Linked DNA regions of Schizosaccharomyces pombe. The gene in region 4 interacts genetically with the main gene of each other region. Each region holds a gene or a part of one and is shown on either strand. Other genes may lie near its edges. The genes, in order: pku80, lsd1, paf1 and set2.

Evidence for each region.
Region 1: mutations in set2 (region 4) and pku80 impair growth when combined (synthetic growth defect), as found in Schizosaccharomyces pombe (one study listed by BioGRID).
Region 2: mutations in set2 (region 4) and lsd1 impair growth when combined (synthetic growth defect), as found in Schizosaccharomyces pombe (one study listed by BioGRID).
Region 3: of set2 (region 4) and paf1, changing one enhances a phenotype caused by changing the other (phenotypic enhancement), as found in Schizosaccharomyces pombe (one study listed by BioGRID).

The regions. Positions count from the first base shown.
Region 1 is NC_003423.3:4,302,520-4,307,342, forward strand, and holds pku80 (Ku domain protein Pku80 ), read right to left. Parts: upstream 2,884-4,823; 5' UTR 2,849-2,883; coding exon 2,720-2,848; intron 2,676-2,719; coding exon 2,621-2,675; intron 2,566-2,620; coding exon 2,499-2,565; intron 2,459-2,498; coding exon 622-2,458; 3' UTR 504-621; downstream 1-503. Other genes in the region: SPOM_SPBC543.02C (TPR domain protein, DNAJC7 family), read right to left, coding at 1-96; Npr2/3 complex subunit Npr3, read left to right, coding at 3,510-4,573, 4,639-4,823. UniProt on the Schizosaccharomyces pombe protein: Single-stranded DNA-dependent ATP-dependent helicase. Involved in non-homologous end joining (NHEJ) DNA double strand break repair. DNA-binding is sequence-independent but has a high affinity to nicks in double-stranded DNA and to the ends of duplex DNA.
Region 2 is NC_003423.3:1,015,424-1,020,842, forward strand, and holds lsd1 (histone demethylase SWIRM1), read right to left. Parts: upstream 3,819-5,419; 5' UTR 3,580-3,818; coding exon 577-3,579; 3' UTR 513-576; downstream 1-512. Other genes in the region: tif1102 (translation initiation factor eIF1A-like), read right to left, coding at 46-344; protein mug57, read left to right, coding at 4,330-4,899; protein mug97, read right to left, coding at 4,873-5,419. UniProt on the Schizosaccharomyces pombe protein: Catalytic component of the SWM histone demethylase complex that specifically demethylates H3K9me2, a specific tag for epigenetic transcriptional activation, thereby acting as a corepressor.
Region 3 is NC_003424.3:1,707,003-1,710,904, reverse strand, and holds paf1 (RNA polymerase II-associated Paf1 complex protein), read right to left. Parts: upstream 2,124-3,902; 5' UTR 2,084-2,123; coding exon 2,081-2,083; exon of another isoform or gene 2,044-2,080; coding exon 676-2,043; 3' UTR 558-675; downstream 1-557. Other genes in the region: rps1602 (40S ribosomal protein uS9), read left to right, coding at 1-212, 356-403; Ino80 complex actin-like protein Arp8, read left to right, coding at 3,655-3,755, 3,800-3,902.
Region 4 is NC_003424.3:5,407,680-5,412,658, forward strand, and holds set2 (histone lysine H3-K36 methyltransferase Set2), read right to left. Parts: upstream 3,387-4,979; 5' UTR 3,136-3,386; coding exon 739-3,135; 3' UTR 501-738; downstream 1-500. Other genes in the region: SNF2 family ATP-dependent chromatin remodeller Ino80, read left to right, coding at 1-376; spd1 (ribonucleotide reductase (RNR) inhibitor), read left to right, coding at 4,810-4,979. UniProt on the Schizosaccharomyces pombe protein: Histone methyltransferase that trimethylates histone H3 'Lys-36' forming H3K36me3. Involved in transcription elongation as well as in transcription repression.

The DNA.
Region 1 (4,823 bases), on a different chromosome or scaffold from region 4:
AGCGTTTCCTATAGCCTTTTGCTTTTCAGCTAGCTCAGCAGGCTCTTGTTGGCTCTCTGTACCTGCATTCATGTGTGTGGTTTCGACTTCAGTCATTTTGATCGAATTAATTTAAATATTTAAAAAATTTAAATTTTATTTAAAATGACAGAAAGTTCAGGAACGCTTTCCAATCGCCGAAGCGTAACAGATCAAAAAGTCAGTGGTAGGTAAATAGATACGACCAAACTATTAAATTTTAGTATCACTAATAAGGAACACTGCTGTAGCTCCTTAAGCATGTCCCCGATATTTGTCCAATTCGTGAAAGTAAGTCTAAAATGTTCTTTGAATAATGTAATTGTGAAAGATAGAATATAAATAAAAAAATGCAAGGAACTCTCACCAAGTTTTTAAACGATAGTTGTGTTTTCTGAAATATCATAGGTATGTTTACCTAAACTACTTAAGTTAAAACTATTTTCTATTTTTGCGACCGTGTATTCTATATGCTAATAAATAGCGGATTCATGACTTAAAAATTTTTATTAGAAATTTGGATAAAAGTAAAAAAAATATTGCAAGTATTTAATAAAATTTATTTATTTATGTTCGAGTAAGACAAGTCATTGTTGTCCTATGCTAAATGTTATTAAAATTATCATGTCTAGTCAATTCATCATGGAGAATAATATCTAATCCAGATGATCTTATTTTGTTAATAAGCTCATTCTCCTTGGGTTTGTTATTTTGCATTACGTCCTTTTTCAATCGAGTAAGATACTCATTAAATCTTTCAACTTCGTCTTCCAAAATTGAGTGTAACCTGAGAGATTGCAATGACTGCAAAGCAAGATCGTACTTAGACTTGTCAATAAGATTTTTAATTACTTTTTCCATTTCTGTCAAAGCATCCTCTAGTCCAAAAGGGTTTTTCAAAACTTCAGTGAAAGTGCCTACTGGGTCTTTTTCACTAACGTGAAGGACTAATAATTTTTCTCCTTCCTGTTCATCGAGACCAGAATTTAGTAGTTCTTCTATTTGTTCCTCTGATATTGGGGCGCCTGTGTCGAAGGCTGTTTCTTGAGAAGAATATTTTGGTTTGACGGGGACGTTCACTGTAAGTTTTTCCTTAATCAACTTCAAGTCCAAAATGCAATTATCAAGTAAACTTTTTGGAGGATTGGTGTAACGTGTTAAGTAAATATTTGGTTGAGGAAGATCGCCTTCTGGTGAATTTGCATAATAACTGATAGCTTGTTGAAGTCTATGTGGTATCATACTAAAGGTATTTTCGGGCTCAAAAGGAGGATTGAACCCACAATCAGAGGAATCTAAATCCATATTATCGATATAATTACTTACGGCAAAATCAATTTGTCGCATATCCTCTTCATTTGACAGTTTCTCGAACTCTGAGAAAGAATAAGGCCGAACATCTTCAGCGAATGGAAGTTGTATATCAACCAAGTAATGTCTTTTAAACTCCACGTAAGGCATCAAGACCAGCAAAACTGGTACGCCCTTATCTTTAGAAACAAACCTTGCGAGCGCATATCGGTGTTCACGTTCAAGGGATTGAACAAAGGCAGAAAAATTTAATTTGCTTTCGAAGTCATCTTTTGGAACGATTATATTAGTATCACTAATGGTATAATAAATTGGAAGACTAGATTTAGGAATAAATCCAAGGATTTCATAACCGGGTATTGTATCTAAAGCCAATACGTCTTCATCTGATCGGCTGATCGGGACGATTGTCCTACCATAACTATAACCGCTTTCCAAGTCTTCTCTTTTAACCTCAAAAGAATCGTTTGTTTTTGGATCACGAACCATGTACGATCGAACAGTAGACACTGCATCAGATTCCATACTTTTGTTTTCCACATTTGAATTTTCGATATTAAGACATTCATAATTTTTAGACATATCGTTTTCATAAAAAGCAGATGATGTTGGCGGTTTAGTTAAACGAGTTCTAGGATATCTTTCAACCTGTATGCTTATAGACGTATCTTTGCTGTCTCTATTACCAATACTAAATGTACCTCTAAAGATTGCGACAGGTCTCACTTTACGAACCCAAGGTTTACCGATGTTGTTATAAATCTGTTGAAATGTGCAGTACTGACCATGACAACTCTCAACAAACTCTTGAATTCGAACTTCGTTTTCCTTTTTCTGAGATTCCTTTAAAGGCTCAGAATAATTAATATCTTCTTGATCAAAATCAACTCCATAAACACCTAGAAAAACATCATGCTGCAGTAGTTGTTCGGCAATTCCAATGTAATCACTAAAGTCGATAATCCCCCTAGCTGCCGTAAGCACTATCATCTTCTTCTTCCATTTGTTCTTTTTACAATGCCGAGCCATCAAATCAAAGGACACAACTATTGCAGATATCAGATCGCCTTGCATAGTATTGCTTGGTTTTAACGTTTGAGAAACGGATTGTAGCTTTGAAAATAAGGCACTAGTTAAGAAGTTAATGGAGCATTTAAGAGAAAGCTTACGTTTGTATAGGATACAAAACACTGATATTCCAATAGGCTTCCTGCTCAGCTAAATCATTTTTCGTATCTAAACACCGTAAAAGTTAGAAGTAGTGTACCTTTAAAACATTACAATAGAATACCATCGCATTTGTAACCAACGATTCCAACTACGTCTGTCTTCCTATTTGCTAAAAACTGAGTATGTGTCAATAGGGTGTCGATAATGTTGAGCAAAATACCTTATGAGACAATTCGTCGTGAAAATACGACAAAGTCCATTCGAGATCAGAATGAGACCTGCCATGGTGACAGGTCCCCATATCTTTGCCCAAGTCAAGTACAAAAACAGTACATTCCTTATCACTCATACGAATTGTTAAGGAATACAGATTTGGTGGAGGTCAAAGCAAGGTGAGATTTGTTGTAGAACATTGGGGCCTCCGATGCTTTCAACAGTTAGATATCAATTACACGGTCATTTTAAATGATTCAGGTATTTTCTTCGCGGTATGAATATACTACATTAACAGTAAGTCCAGCAGCATATGTGCAAATGCACATGTGACTGAAATGTAAATAACCCAAAACATTGTATATAAATTAGTCAATTCATTTTTATAACTTAAATCAGAAACTCTTGAGAATTGAATTGGAGCTATTAAAGTTGCTAAGGTTTTACGCACATTAGAAATTTTGCATAGCGATGCTTTTACTTTCAATTCACACATTAATTTACAAAGCCGTGAACTCATATCTCAAGATGTCAATAATTAGTTAACATTCAGTTTAACTATTCATGTTAGATCTTATTAGTTTTGTACTAGGCGATTAAAACACCGAGCTGCCAGATGCATATCGCTCACAAATCTTTCGTACTACACGCAAATTACCAGAAAACGATACCACCCCCTTGAGGTATAATGTTTAAGGTGATATTTGGTTTTCTGTTGTGAAAAATATATTAAAAAACACACATATGTACTTCAATTATCGAACATACACATTTATACTTTGTTTTAAAACGCCAAAATGGTACGCTTAACTCCTCGATTAGTAGCCATTTTCCTTGTTGAAAAAACAACATCAGGAGCTAATTTCGTCTTTCACTGGCCGCTACAACCTCAAGTACGTCTACAAGCCACTCATCATAATAATGATTCAGCGGAGTCTGCAATCGGGATGCTCGACCTTGATGACAGCGATGATGATGAGAATAATAGGTTTACTGAAGTAGCTGACGATACACATGTACTTGGTTATGAAAAAGGCTTTCTCGCAAATATGCTAAGTCCTCGTATTGAACTTTGCAATCAAAAATTTGAAATTTGGGTGGATGGTCTTACTTTTTTGGGATGTCCTGTTCATATTGGTCCGAACGGTGAGTGGGCTAAACGAAGGAAACCACGAACTACTGTTGAGTCTAATGCTTCTTCGAGCCATTTGGTATCAAAGCCCGAATCTTCACACCCTTCGACAGGAAGTTTTGAAGTAAAATCATCTTCATCAAAATCGAGATCTTCAATGTCTTTATTTCATGTCGTCTTTGTATTAAATGTGCCTACAGCTACCGTATATCGCCCTACTGTAAACACGATGTATGATCATATAGTAGTCAAGTTAGTTACTGGACTTAAATATGAACAAGCAAAACGGAATTATGTTGAAAATGAGTGTATACACATCTTAAAACTGACTGAAAAATATTCAAGCCAAAACGTCCCATTCGATGTGTATGCCGCTCAAATCCCTCATCACTCAAATCTTGCTTCGGTTCTTGCTACTACATATGAGGCTTTAATTAACATGCATACGGCTTATTTAGAGATAAATCAATCGATTAACTTAAGCTTACTCTGGCCTATGTCGGTTTCCACCAACACACTTGAAAATTACGAACTGCAGGTTAGACCATCAACTATTTTAGCATCTCAAACCATCTTCTCTGAAGAACATCCTTCCTCTATTGAACCTTTCGTTGCCCCCTATTGGACTTTGTTGCTCTTAAAGGATACAGACACTATAATGAAACGTGTTCCTCTTTTACAAAATTCTCTTCTTTCTTCTTTCATTGCCATAGTAAAACCTAACTTAACGTAAGTTTTGTCAAGTCTAAACAAAATTTATTATTGCTATTAAATACTAACTTACAATATTTCAGGTTCACAGATATCGCTAATCGTCTAGGAATATCAGTATCAGAATGCTTTATTCTAGCAAAACACCTTATTCATTGGAGAAAGGCTATCGCTATTCCTCCTTTGTTAATCCGGAATACTTATGTTACATCCCCAACTGCTAATCTGTTTAATTTGGAGGAGGAGTCAAAGCTTTTTAAAAAGGAAT
Region 2 (5,419 bases), on a different chromosome or scaffold from region 4:
CTAGTTAGCACAATCATCTAATGTTATTTCAAGAGAATTTCTTACCAATAAATTTGTTTTTTCCAATTTTTTAAAGGGCTTTGTACCACGTACAATATAGTACCGTCAATTTTATTGTCCTTCTCTAAAAACTCAGATTTATCAACTATTACAAACCCATTTCTCCTAACCCATATTTTATTACGATACTTTGGAGGCATCTCAACAAGTAATTCCTGTCCATTGTTTTCTACTACCATAAAAAGCGCAGATCCTTTAAGTTGCACAACTTTGGCGACGACTTGATCTTTTTCCAACCTAGCTGGTGGATCAAACGAAATTTGACCGCCATATTTTTTTGACATATTAGTATTTCTCTAAAGAGCTCGTATATATGTGATAACCAAGCAAATCGTAGAGAATTGGGTTTATGGTGGTTAGGAAGCTTCGACAAGTGGATTTACAAGATGATATGCATTTCATAAATGTCATTCCTTTCTATGAAAAAATAAAATTTAGTATACCATTATAACTTAAACGTAAAAATTGATCTTTATCTCATATAAACTACCCTTAAAAAAAAACTTTAAATGAAGCTCATGAGAAATTGTCAGGGAATACTTCACTTATTGAATCCTCATAATCTAAATCATCATGATAATCATCATCACTATTTTCAACGGACATGCCCTCTTTTTCAGGATGTAGATGTTCGTCCTCTTGTTCAGCAAGTAATTTTAACTTAGCCTCATCTTCAGGAATTGGTTGAGATTCACATCTTCGCTGATGTTCGGATTTAATTTGGGCAACTCTCACATTGTAGGAATTAATTTGACGTTGATACTCTTCCAGGCGAGTTGAATAATTTGCTCGTCTCGCGTTAATTTCATCAACCCATGGTTGTTTACCTAAACTATCCAAGGCTCGCCATGTCTTTCCCAATTTTGCACGTATCTCATTTTTTGTGGCACGTGCTTCAGGATCGCCAGTAACTCTTTGTTTATCCTGATCTGCTAGAGTTTTACAAACGTGCCATTGAGTTTTTTGGTACAAAAGGTAAGGATTAGCACTAGGCCTTGATGGTGGAACAGGAGACGGTCCCAATAATTCGGCAATTAGTAAATCACATTCTTGCTGTTCTTTATCAAGTCTTTTTTGTCTCAAGCGTAAATACTCGGTATGGTATGAAATGCGCTTTTCCTTATTTTCTCTTTCTCCCTCTTTGCCTAAAGCTTGTTGAGCATTTCGCTTCGTGCCGTACGTTTTACGGGGTTGTTCCAAGTTTTCCTCAATAACGAGAGTGTTAGGTAAAACAACATTGCCTATTAACGAAGCCAAAACATCTCTAGCAGCCAGTATGCCCGAATCAAATGCGCCGCGTATCGAACCTGAATTTTTTTGGGAAATTGCTTCACTAGCAAAAAACACAGTATTGTCAATGGGCTCAGACAATATTGCATAATCCTCTTCCAAAAACAAATTGGATATTTGATATGATGAGTGATTTGTATAAGAATTATTCTCCCAGTTACTGATAATCGTTCGAATAGGATTTATGGCTTCTGATTTCGGTTTATAAACTTTTTTAAGTTGAGATACAATCCCATTCACTATATCATCATCCTTCATAAAGTCGATCCCTTCAACCTTCACAAAGACTGATAATGTGGGATGTTCGTAAAATCGAGTGCAATCGTTAAATATAAAGTTTCTACCTGAATCTTGTGGTAGTGAACCAAATATACTTATGTTTGGTTCCCAGAATTGGGTTTTAAAAATGAGGATAACCTTTTTCACATTGGTAAAATGACATCTATCAATAGCCTTTAGCTTCTTTTCTTCGAGAGGCGGCTCGAAGGTAATCAAATGGGTATTCAGCTTGTCCATAGGTATACATATAACCACTTTATCGACTGAAACTGTTGTTTCATTTACAAATGATAAGTTAACCGTATTATCTTCTAGCTTTACAGTATGGACACACTGGTCAAAAAGAATTGGAAGTGGAGAAGGTGTTGAAGCAAGGGAGTTTAGCATATCCGCCATTCCATGTTTGAAGGAATATGAAGCGACATTTTCACCTAATAATAAATTCAGGTTTGGAATGCTTCCCGGATAAACATTTTCAAGAGAAACAGAGAGTGATTGTGAAAGGTATTCCTTAAACCATTCAAAAATTTTTAAATCTAAAACAGTAAGATGCAATAAAGAAGTGAGGGTGTTAGCCGAATTACCAAGAAATTCAGACAAAGTGTCCTTTATTTGTAAAGGAAAGGCTTCAATTGAAATATACCAACCAATTTGGTCAAGCTTTTGAATGAATTCTTGCTCAGGAGGAGTAATCAACGAATGAAGGGGCTGTTTACTAGCTGAAGCATTGAAATAAAAAAGTAAAGCATCAAATAAACGAAAAATACGTTGAACATGTTCGGTATCAATTCTTCCATTTTCGATATCATGTAAGATAAACTCTCTATTTCTAGTATGTACTGCATCTAACGAAAGCTGTTGTGAGGAAATTATGTATAAGGGGTCACTGTCGAGCGTGGGCATTCCGATTAAAGAATCGGTCAATAAGTTAACCATACATTCATTTGTGGCATTCACAGTTGTAGCTAGAGAACTTTTTTCACTAACTTCATTATCACTCAATGGAACCATATGGGTATAGATATGGCCACCCAAACGTTCACTAGCTTCGTATATAACTATGCGAGGAGGTTTTTCTCCCCGGCTTAAGAAATCTTGCTCATATTGAGCAAATAGGTTGGTTAGCTGGCGAGCACAAGATATTCCTGCCATGCCTGCGCCTATAATAGCAACAGTTTTTTGGGAAAGAGATTCATCTAATTTTAGGGAGGATATAATATATATACACCCATAGTTTATGTGACCGTTACGAGACAAAAACTCAAATGCCAGAGAAGCCAGTGGAAATGCTTTTTTTTCACGAACAATACCAAGAGCTTCATTAAATGATACATAAAGAGTCGGGTTTCTATGCCAAAGGTAACAAATGCCATTTCGTATACTTAAATAAAGAGAAAGCCATGTCGGATTCTCAAGGATTTCAGAAAGCATCTCAGCTTCTAGAGGCGAGAGAGCATTTGGTGGAAGATTACTAGCTATAGCAGATTCATAGCAAAGTCTCTCGAAAGTGACACGCGGTATGGCAGGGATGCTGGATTTAACAGATATAGGAGCCTCCGCGGAAACATAGCGCGTACCATTTCTTTCAAGAGAATTAGAAGTATTTAGAGCTGGTCGACCTCTACGACCAGCAGGTCTACGCCCTTTTATAGGTAATTTTTGCAAAGATAGCACCTCCTGGGATTTTTCTAAAGCTGATGGCTTTACTTGGGATAAACCGTTGATATTCGTTGGAATAGAGGCTTTAGAAACAGTCTCAGACACGGGTCTCTCACTCAATTGACTCAAATCAAATATTTCCTGCTCAACGGAGACACTTTCGTTACCTCCTTCATGTACATTGTCAGAAGATTGGTGACCAAATATGGCCCACAACGAAGGGTCAGATGATTGTGCGTGCGTATCTTTTAAAACGTCCGAAAGAGCATCTTTCGAAGACAAATCCATCATTTCAACATAATCATTAGACAGAAGCTTTCGTCCATGAGTTGCAAATCGGATTGCCAAAGTTAAAGTGTGTGCTAGGTAAGACGCTGTTAGGCGTACACTCTCCACTTATAAGGAGACTACTTTTTGGGGTACTCACGTAAATTAGATTACTTTGTTTCAATAGCAAAATAGCTTAAGAAAATAACATTAATAAATATTACAAGTGATGGGTTGTGTTATGCGATGTGATATAGTATTATGGTTGAATCATATTTTTTGAACACAATGTTTATGGAACTAATGGTGACAGAAAATAATGAAGATTACCATCTAACCAAACGTCTACAAGTATCTTCTATACATAATAAACTACAATCAAATTGCATAAAGCAGTTGGGTTTAAGAGTGTGTCTAATTACATACATGGTGTAAAAAACAATAGTTTATAATTAGGTAAATATCTATCACTTTTAAGAAAAACTAAGAAAACAAAAAAGTATTAAATTTTAAAAACTTCTTAATCGTGTTTAAAAAAAAAAAAAAAAAAAAAATTGTTATGTCGTAACAACAACCAAAGATCTACCGTTCATCAAATCGTTGTTTTTGTTAAAACAGGCGTTTTTTTCCTCTATTACCAAGTCGCTTACGTTTACAAAATTGGATTATTTAACTTTTGAAAAAAATTAAGTAGTTCTAATTGATGCCAATTGATTTTTTCTTTTTAAGATTACCATTTGTTAAAGCAGTGTGTCTTTAATAACACCCTCCAAAATGATGAAGCTGTTTTGTCTAAACATCTTTCGTTTCCTTTATACTACGAGTTTTATTAGTGCAGTACTCTCTTTTAACCAAAGACCTATCAATATGCAAGAAGTTCGTGAACCAAGGCTCTTTGAATTGCTTGCCGAAACAAGAGATTGCAACATTTTTTCTGAGCTTATAATGCAGTTTCCTGATTATGTTCATCTCTTCCAACAAAAAGATCAGCATATCACTGTCTTGGTCCCTAATGATGCTGCATTTCAACAGTGTAAAGTCAAACCTTGGGCAATTGAATACAAAAATGGAGTTGCCGTTAAATCCACTGACATAGTTCATATTACTGAGCAACAAGCCCAGGACAATATTCTTAAATTTGTCGAGCGCCACATAATTACTTCTTCACCTATTGAATGGAATAATGAATATAAGACAATCGATGGTACAGATGTACATGTTATTAAAAAGGAAGAGGAGATCTATATAAATGAGTCTATTCATGTTCTCTGCCGTAAAAAAGCAAGCAATGGGGAAATGTGGGTACTAAATGCCACTTTATCTACACCAAGTATTCGAGAGTAGATAAAGGAAGCTACCTATACTTCCGATTCCCAAATTGAGTAACATTCCATGTGCGAATGATGGGTCAGAGAGTCTCATCCATAGACCAATAAGTACGGATCCGCCAGCGCTAAATAATAGAAGAGATAAAACCCACATATTTATTTTATATATCGGTATAATTAATAACTCTTCACTTCCACTTGCTTCTATCTGCTCATATCGTTCTGCGACTGTACGACATCCAGGATGTGTATCAATCTTGCGTTCAACTATTTCTCTACGCATCACCTTTTCTGCCCAAGGATTCCACCAATGCTTTCGGCGCAAAACGTATTCGCATTCAGGTCCAAATGAAATTCCTTGTAAAACGTAGAAAATAGATGGTCGATTTTCACTGCTAAAGTATTTTGCATACGCCTCCACTAACTGATTATCGTCGTCTTTATCGAAAGGCAAGTACCATCTCGAATAATGCTTATGGTATAAACAAACTCTAACTTGATTCTCATTTTTACCCGACTCATGTTTCAATAAAGCT
Region 3 (3,902 bases), 3.7 Mb from region 4:
ACAAGTTTGCCGGCGTCGATATCCGTGTTCGTGTTTCTGGTGGTGGACATGTTTCTCAAATCTATGCTATCCGTCAAGCCATCTCCAAGGCCATCGTTGCTTACTACCAAAAGTTCGTTGATGAGCACTCTAAGGCTGAACTCAAGAAGGCTCTCATTACTTATGACCGTACTTTGTTAGTTGCTGATCCTCGTCGTATGGAGCCCAAGAAGGTTTGTTTATTATTGAATTTCAAGCAACTTTATTTAGTTTTGGACATAACGCATTTAAGCTTTTTTGTGCTTTGTCTACTGAAGCATTTGGTTGCCTGTCTATATTCACTGTGTTTTTGTATTTTTATACTAACTGTTTCTAGTTCGGTGGTCACGGTGCTCGTGCTCGTCAACAAAAATCTTACCGTTAAGAGAAAATATTATTGGTTTTCCAAAGCAACTGTCATTTAGTCGTAGAATTGTAAATTGTGTAAAATAGTCGAACTTCCACGCGTAATATGCAATATGAATTTTTATACGATAGTTTTACAACTTCTTTATGTATATAGTTTTATACAAAATTCATTTGCGAAGGTTAAAGTGTTATTTCATTGTTTTGTATATACAAGGGTATGCTGCATGAAAGACACGATTAGATCATTTATTTGTTTAGGATAATGTTTCATTTTCAAACATGAAACGATTAATCCTCTTCATTTTGTAGCTGTTCAACTGGCGAAGGCTGTGTATTCCCTTCTTCTACTGGTGGTGCAGGGGAATTTGCTTGCGACTCGGAAGCCGACATATTCTGAGCTTGTGTTTCAGGCTTAACTCCATTAGTTTGTTCAGCAGATTCTAGTTGTTCACGAGATTCCGCAGGTTTCTCTTCTTCAGAGAGTTCCTCATTGAGGCTGCCCTCGACACTTCTTAGTTTCTCCTCCTCTTCTTCTAAATCTTTTATGTTTCCTAAACCAAATGTATCATATCGGGCACGCTTCAGCTGCAACGATTCCTCGTCATTCAAATCACGAAGGCTCAACTCAATACCATCAACAGCATCAAGACTGACTGGAGCACGAACATGACGGCGCTTTAGGGTAGAACGAGCATAAATAGGTGTGTATAAAACTTGGTTAGCTTCAGGATGATCTTTATCTGTGTGAAACGTCAAACAAAGATCTTCAAGCCCTGTGCTATTGACATGCATAGAAGCATCAAAATTACGAAAGTGATTATAAACAAATGGTTCATGAACATCGGCAGAAGCATCATTAACTTTAGCTTGTATCTCTTCCGCTGTCTCTTCTGAAGGTAAGTAGTAGGATAAGAATTCCTCACCCTCTGCAGAAGAAGGCATGAATAGAGCGACTTCGTGACGTTTTGTGAGATTGTGCCCCTCTTGAAGATTAACCAAGGAACTATAAGAATGCGACCGTTCTGACAAATCGTCAGCAACGCGCAACATTAAATGTTGAATTCCTGCCATTGAAGTATTTGGCAACAAGTTCCAGGCTGATACGGGTTTTAAATCAGGCTTGGTAGGATGCTTCAATTGTTCTAACGGTTGTTGCACAACGTCGAAACTCTCATTAATAGCTTCAAGTTGTTTGGGAACCTCGCGAAGCGAACGGCCACGTTGTTCAGCCAATGCTTTACTAGTAGATGCTGTAAGTCGTAAATTTCCCCGATTGGAAGCAGCACGTGCCACTTCTGAAGATATGTACTCGGTGCGTCGCAAGAAAGGTACCTCAAGGTGCGTGGATCCAGAGCCTCCTGCAACTTTTAATAATGAACGGTCAATAGGATCCAAATTAACACTTGATAGATCCGAATGCATCCAGCTGGTATCTCCTTCAAAAAATCCAGTTATTCCGGCCAAATCAAGCGGCATTCCCAATTCAATATCATTTTCAATGGGAATCTTTTTTTCTTGAACTAAAGTTGATACAAAATTTGGTAAGGCATACTGCTTTACTGGATTAGGTATATTGATCAATTTTGGAGGAAACGGCGGAGGAGGAAGAGGGTTATGGTATCTAACCCTCAAAATATAATCTTGCCTCCTATTTTCCTGCTTGATTAGTCTGTTTTTCAAGTCTAGTTCTTACCATTGATGTGTTTTCCACAAATACCCAAGGAGATCACGTTCCCATATAACTTCCTAGCATCACCCTAAATTGGAAACGAGCGTCTAATCTTCGCACCGGTATGAAGTACGTTATAAATTGCTCATTTTCGTTAATTAATTAAAAGAAATCCATAGTACTGATGTTAGAAATGATAACGTGTAAGATCGCAATTCCCTAAAGCCGAGGATTCACTAATAGACGATTAATCATTTTTATTGTACGAATTCTAAAATCCCAGTATTTATGCATGCATCATTATGGATGTTAAGGATTTTGCGTCGATTGTATCACCTATTGAAATCGCCTTTTCTTTTAGCATTATACGATGTTCACTCACTGTAGTCCAATTTCATTATATCATTGTAACAAGTAAATTCGATGATTTTTTGGTAAGCAAATTTTCAACTATTTTGTATGTTGATTACTACAGATAAAATAACCCAACTAAATAAAAAGCAATCCAAAATTGATTAATGAATGCTTGCCTAATCTAGTTTATTAAAGAAATTTCATCGTTCTTGCTATACAGTCAATTTTGTTGAGATCTAAGAGACCATGAGCAAAAATTAAATTAAAAATTTGTAAAAAAAGAATACTAGCTAAAATCATTGAATAAAAGTGCTAATAAACACAACCAAATTCTTCTCAATTTTTACTTAATTTATAAAGACAGATAAATGTAGCAATGTAGAAGTTCATGGTCCAAGTTCTGAATTGTTTACGCATATCTTTATTTAATAGGTGAATGGACTGTTAGTTAATAAAGCCATAAACTGCTTGCATTCTCAGGGAGTTGCTTTACTATTACATATATGTATATATTTTTTATACAATTCGATAACTTATTTTATCAACGGTTTTCAACACTTGTTCATGTATATAACAATATAGACTTAACATCAATCCATCTCATAGCTGTTTGTACTTTAATAATTATTATTAAAATTTAAAAAATTAAAAGAACCAAGTACAGTGTAAATCTTGTACATGTGTCTTCTTTTTTCGTTTTACATCATTCATATTCCAATGTAGCTTCATTAGTTAATTCCCGTGTCTAATACAATTCAAGTTGAGTAATGTGTAATCTTTAACAAGAGAAAATAAAATACAAAAGTCCTTGAAACGTTAACATATGCCAATTGTTCTTACAGTAACAGTCATTGCACTCTTCACCCAGGAAACAATTCAAAGTAGAAAACAAAGAAGTGATTGAAAGTGAAAAAATACGAAATATAATCTGTGTCTCTTCACAAAAACATCACATCCAATTTAAACAACTCTAACTACAAACTGTAAGCTTTTAAAGTACATAGGATGTGGAGTCAAATAGAGTTTTCAAGTTGGCATTTTTCATACTTATTTAATTAGGCATGAATAAATGAGTTAAATTGTAATGTATCACTTTCTTCTTTTAAAATTCCTCTTTGTCGCAATTCATTCCTACCTACACACGCACATCCTTTAATCATGTCAAGTTTCGCAAAGTAACCAACACGACTTGGCCCAACTACACCGTAACGAAATTTCCTTTTCAAGCCCTGTGATTTAAAGCGATGGCTCCGAAAAGAAAACAACCCTACACGGAGGAGGGAATCGATTTTAAATTTACTCAATTTCAAATTGTTCCTCCTATCAATCAAAAGAACTTTTACACGTGTGTGCAATTCGCTTGTTTAGTCCTTAAATTAACCAAAATAGTGAATATCTCAAAAGGGATGACCAAATGTATATATGGCGAGACTCCGCTGGAGAGAAAGACGCTAAAGAAACAGAGTCGGAATCTGCTAATGGAGACACGAAG
Region 4 (4,979 bases):
AATTAGTCAACGTCGAGATATGGTTACAGAATGGCAAACACGGCCCGAACTCTTTGTATTTCTACTTTCAACAAGGGCAGGTGGTTTGGGTATTAACTTAACTGCCGCTGATACTGTTATTTTTTATGATTCAGACTGGAATCCTAGTATTGATAGTCAAGCCATGGATCGAGCTCATCGTATCGGTCAGCAAAAACAAGTCACCGTTTACAGATTTATTACTCGTGGAACCATTGAAGAACGGATTGTTATACGTGCTAAAGAAAAGGAGGAAGTACAAAAAGTGGTTATTTCAGGTGGAGAAACTCGGCCAACTAAACAAATGGACCTTAAGGGTAACTCAAGAGAAATGGTTTCATGGCTATTAGAAGAATAAATGGTGTGTGTATAGCTAAAGTTTCGTTAACCCGTTTTATTAAAAATTACTTAACCTAATAGTACATCAATTTTTGCATGGAATTTAATTAGCTAAATATTAACCTATTAATCAAAATGCTATACCGGTCCAGTCCAGGGTTATATAATTAGATGAAATGTTGTAAACAGTCGACGTGCATTTAGACACAAATACGGCTTCTATGTCTGGAAATTAAAGATTGTATTTAAAAAAAAAAATAGTATTAAAATATTACATCAAGGAAGAAAAAAAAAACTAGACACCAGGTATTAAAGACATGCAATATTTGGAACTATAGTATGGTAGACGTTGCTACTTGTCGCAGTTAAAAATACTGGCGATTAAGCAGCTTTTTTCGGGGATTCGCCAATACTGGGTGAATCTGTAGGAGTTGTAGTCGCAGTGCCAGAACGCGATACAACTGTGTCCAAATATCGAAATGCCCAAACTCTCAGCTTTCGCTGCTGAGAGTCTGATAATTCATCTGGTAAAGCTTTTTCTTTTTTGGATAGAACTAACTGAATATGCTTTTTCAAGATAATTTCAGTCATTTTCTTTACTCTCAATTTAAATTCAGCTTTACCAAGCTTCTCTTGGTATCTAGCTGTTTTGTTAGCAAAAAATTTTGCCAAAACTGCCTTAAAAGCAATGCTTTCAGGACTATGCGAAGTTAAATGATGATCAATTGTGGCATCCTGAGAGCTTTTCGTCTTCTTTTCATGCAACTTTTTGGCATGTCTTTTCAAACTTTCTTCGTAAGCAAGACGTCTCTTTTCTTCTCTTTTCTGCTGAGCTATTCTTTCTTCTTCCTCCTTCTGTGCCTTCAACACATTTTTCTGATTGACACTCTCCATTGCCGCTGAAATAATCTTGTTTAAATCTACTTTATTAGCTTGATTGCTGACTTGTTCTTGCTCATTATTTGGTGTAGTTGTTTCAGAAGGAGTGTCAGAGTTAGAAAGACGACGACGTTTAGGGAAAGAATTTTTACGAAAAAGGTTGTGTTTTGAATGGCTTTGATAGTCATTTCCAAACTTGGAACGTGAACGACTATCACTAGGCCTAGAAGAATGTAATGCTGGATGTTTCTTGCTCAAATCTTCTGTTGAATTATTGATTGCAGATTTTATATCTCCCTTATCGCCACGTTGTGGTTCCTGATCCCTTAAAGGAGGATTACTTTGATTATTGGAGGGTTCTGCGTTCGTTGACTGTGGAGCAACTTGACCAGGCTTCCTTCGGGGAATTCGATAAGCTATCTCCAAAGATTCCCATTCTTTTAAAAGAGTTTTGGCATGATCTTTGACCTCCTCGTTCTCATGGTCGCAAAACTCTTGAACAACGGGCTCAATATTTGAATCTTGGATTTTATTTCTTGTTAGGCGTGGCCAAGATAACATGGTTTTTATAGAACGTAGTATAAACTCAATATCAATGCTGAACTTCTTCAGCATCAAACCAAAAATGTTGTAACCACGTAACGCAATGATCGAACGGCATACACTAGGATCTGAAGTCAAGAAAATGCGTTCCATTAACTTTCTTGTTAATAAGTCATCCTTAGTTTGCAGGAGAACGCCAATCACTTTAGTAGCAGACTCAGATGTCAGAGGAGTAGGTTGCACCTCTTCAATAATTTTGCTAGTTTCGTCAATTCCCTTTTTACGACGTTGTCGACGTGCAGTGATGTTTTCCCAGCTATCCTCTTCATCTTCAATACCAAGAGCCTCTCGGACATTCTCAGGTAGTTTCGATTGAGCCTCAGTTTGCGTCTTTCCGCCAATATACCCTACACAGCAAGGTTCTCCGCAATAACAAGGTTGGGCTTGTGCACCATATCTATCGACATTATAGTCAAAAGTAAGCTCTTCACCGCGAATAATATCTCTTTTACAAAATATACCCATTCTTAGCTTATCTCCTACCATCCATTTATCAACATAACAATTAGGTCTACAAGAGTGATTGCAAAATCTTGCGAGCGACCCCCTTTTAGTAGCATCAATATATTCCCCCTTTTGCAGCATCATGAAGTAAAAGTGTTTAATTCCCTCACTATCGTATTGTCGCATACGTTTACGAAACTTTTGTTCAGGTATAACTTCTCCAATGTATTCGTAGACAAATGTGTCTTTGGGTAAATTGGCATCAGCGCGCAAACCAAACCCTTTCTTTTCGGTTAAGAAAACATCCACCTTTGCAAATTCATGTCTTTGAAAGCGTTGGTTTTGACAGGATGGTCCACAAACGTTATCTTCGTCCGTACACTCTATAGAAGTCATTCTATTAATACAATTGGATCCGTGCCCACAAGCAACATTAACTCCATCTACCCAATGAGGCCGACAATCGCAAATCATAGCTTCGTTTTCTGGAGGCTTACCAATATTGGCGGAAGCATACTGACATTCTTGAATCTCTTCGAACGTAGTTAGCGCCTTATCTTTCGCAGAATCCAGGTGATGAAAAAGTTGAGGAGGAAGTGCCTCTTTTCTAACATATTTGCTTTGAGACCGAGAGGATGCAGACGATGGCGAGGACGTAGAAGGGGAAGGAGCACTTTCGTCTTTATTCATCCCTTCGGCATCCTCTTTACTTTCGAAATCATGAGATGACGAAGAAGATGGTGATGAACCGACTGCCTGGACAGCGATTGTGTCTTTTGACCAAGAAGACTTCCTATCAACGTTTTCCTCATTCAAAGGAGTTAAAACAGAAAGAGATGATGCCGTCTGCATTGTATGATAATGGACAAAAAGAAAGAGAAAGTTAAAAAATCTACAGTTTTATTGAACAAAAAGTAATTGCCGAAGGAAGCCAAAACAATAGAAAGAAGACCAGCTGAAATTTCACCGAAAATCTTCTTTTTAGAAAATTTCCGAAAATATCTCGATGCGTAACATATAGATCTTCTAACGTTTCAAAGTTTCGTGTCAAAGAAACAGTGAGATCAGGAAATTGTCTCAAGGAAGAAGTTGTGGCTGTTGGCGGCGTTCCTTCTTTACTCGCGGAATCCTCGTAGGGGCTCACAGTACCGGAGTGTAAACGACAACTCTTGACTTTAGTGTTAAATATTAAAGAAACCTATTAAAAGAAAAGGCTTTAAAATCTTTACTTTCATTTCATTCAAGCATCTACAAAAAATCACCATCACGCGCAACATTTGAATGCCATTCTTTTCCAGAAATTCCATAATAGTTGTTGAAGAAATAACACTGTTAGTGTAATAAAATTCACTCTGTTTTTTACACTCGGCGCCTTATGTAGCGAATATCTTTGAATTAATAATATCAATCATACTATGTAACTGTAGTAGGTTGTTTATCCAAAAAACATATGGTACGCAAAGATAGACACTAATTATCAACAATGAATGAATAAGAAAAGCTTTTTCAACGAATATTTTGAGTGAGGCAGTCAGCGTGCTCATACTGGATAGACCCAGAACAAGTAAGTTTACAATATGTTCAATTTACAAATCCAAGCATGTGGTATTGAATTATATTTGGTATTCTTTTTGTTCCCTTGGTCTTATTAATGTAAAATCATCATCTACCTGCATCTATTGAAGCAGTAATTAAACAGAAGTTTGAGAATCGGTAAAGAAAGAAACTAGGAATGTATGTAATAAAGTCATTTTATTTTGAAAATGCTCATCCTGTTAATTCTAGGTAGATTCTTTATTTCTTCAAACCCAACCACTTTTGTTAATATTGTTTAAACACATAATATATACATTGGCGAAATTGAAATAATGCTAAAATTTTGTCAGAGCATTAGTCATTGTTAATTTTAAAAAGCTATTAAACAAAAATAAAGGCTAAGAAAAAAAGATAAACCTATTCCATATGTTTATATATGTGTATCTTATCTTAAAAGGTCTTTAACTCAAGCTATACTTACTACAATCTATATGCAGCTACTTGTCCTTCATGGCACGACGGTGCCAGTAAAGTTAATAAGAAAACCATACCGAACAGGGGCCAAGTTACGATGAGACAACATGTGAAGAACAAAGGAAGAAGCGATTTCAAGCTTTGCAAAAGGTTTGACCAAATTTAACGAACAAACGTTTCAGCTGTTACCTTGAAAGCAGTTGGCAATAAAAGAGAAAGCGAATTTAATTGCTTTAAATGTTTTACTTTAACTCTTAGATATAAAGAGTGCGGAAAAAGTGGCAGAACCACAAGAAAACAAGATCTCAATCGCAAAAGCAATAAAACTGCAATTCCAAATTTTGTAGATTTTCTACCATTTATGAATAACGTGGGTTAGTGAAATGTAAAGAGATCCGTGTTCGATAGGCATTCCCCAGACAAATTTGACTGCTTTAAACGTCACAAAGCCGAGTAGCAAACGCTCCCACAACCAAACACTACACAAAGGTTCGTCGACAATTTATTTTGGAAAAAATGCACAGCAGCAAGCGAGTTATGACCACAAAGACTCATGTTGAGCAGCCTGAGTCTTCAATGCGTCCTCAGCTTCCCGAAAGCATTCAAGGCTCCTTAATGGACGTGGGAATGCGGGTTCGTAAATCAATTTCCACCGGATACAAGTCGAAACAAACCACGTTTCCTGC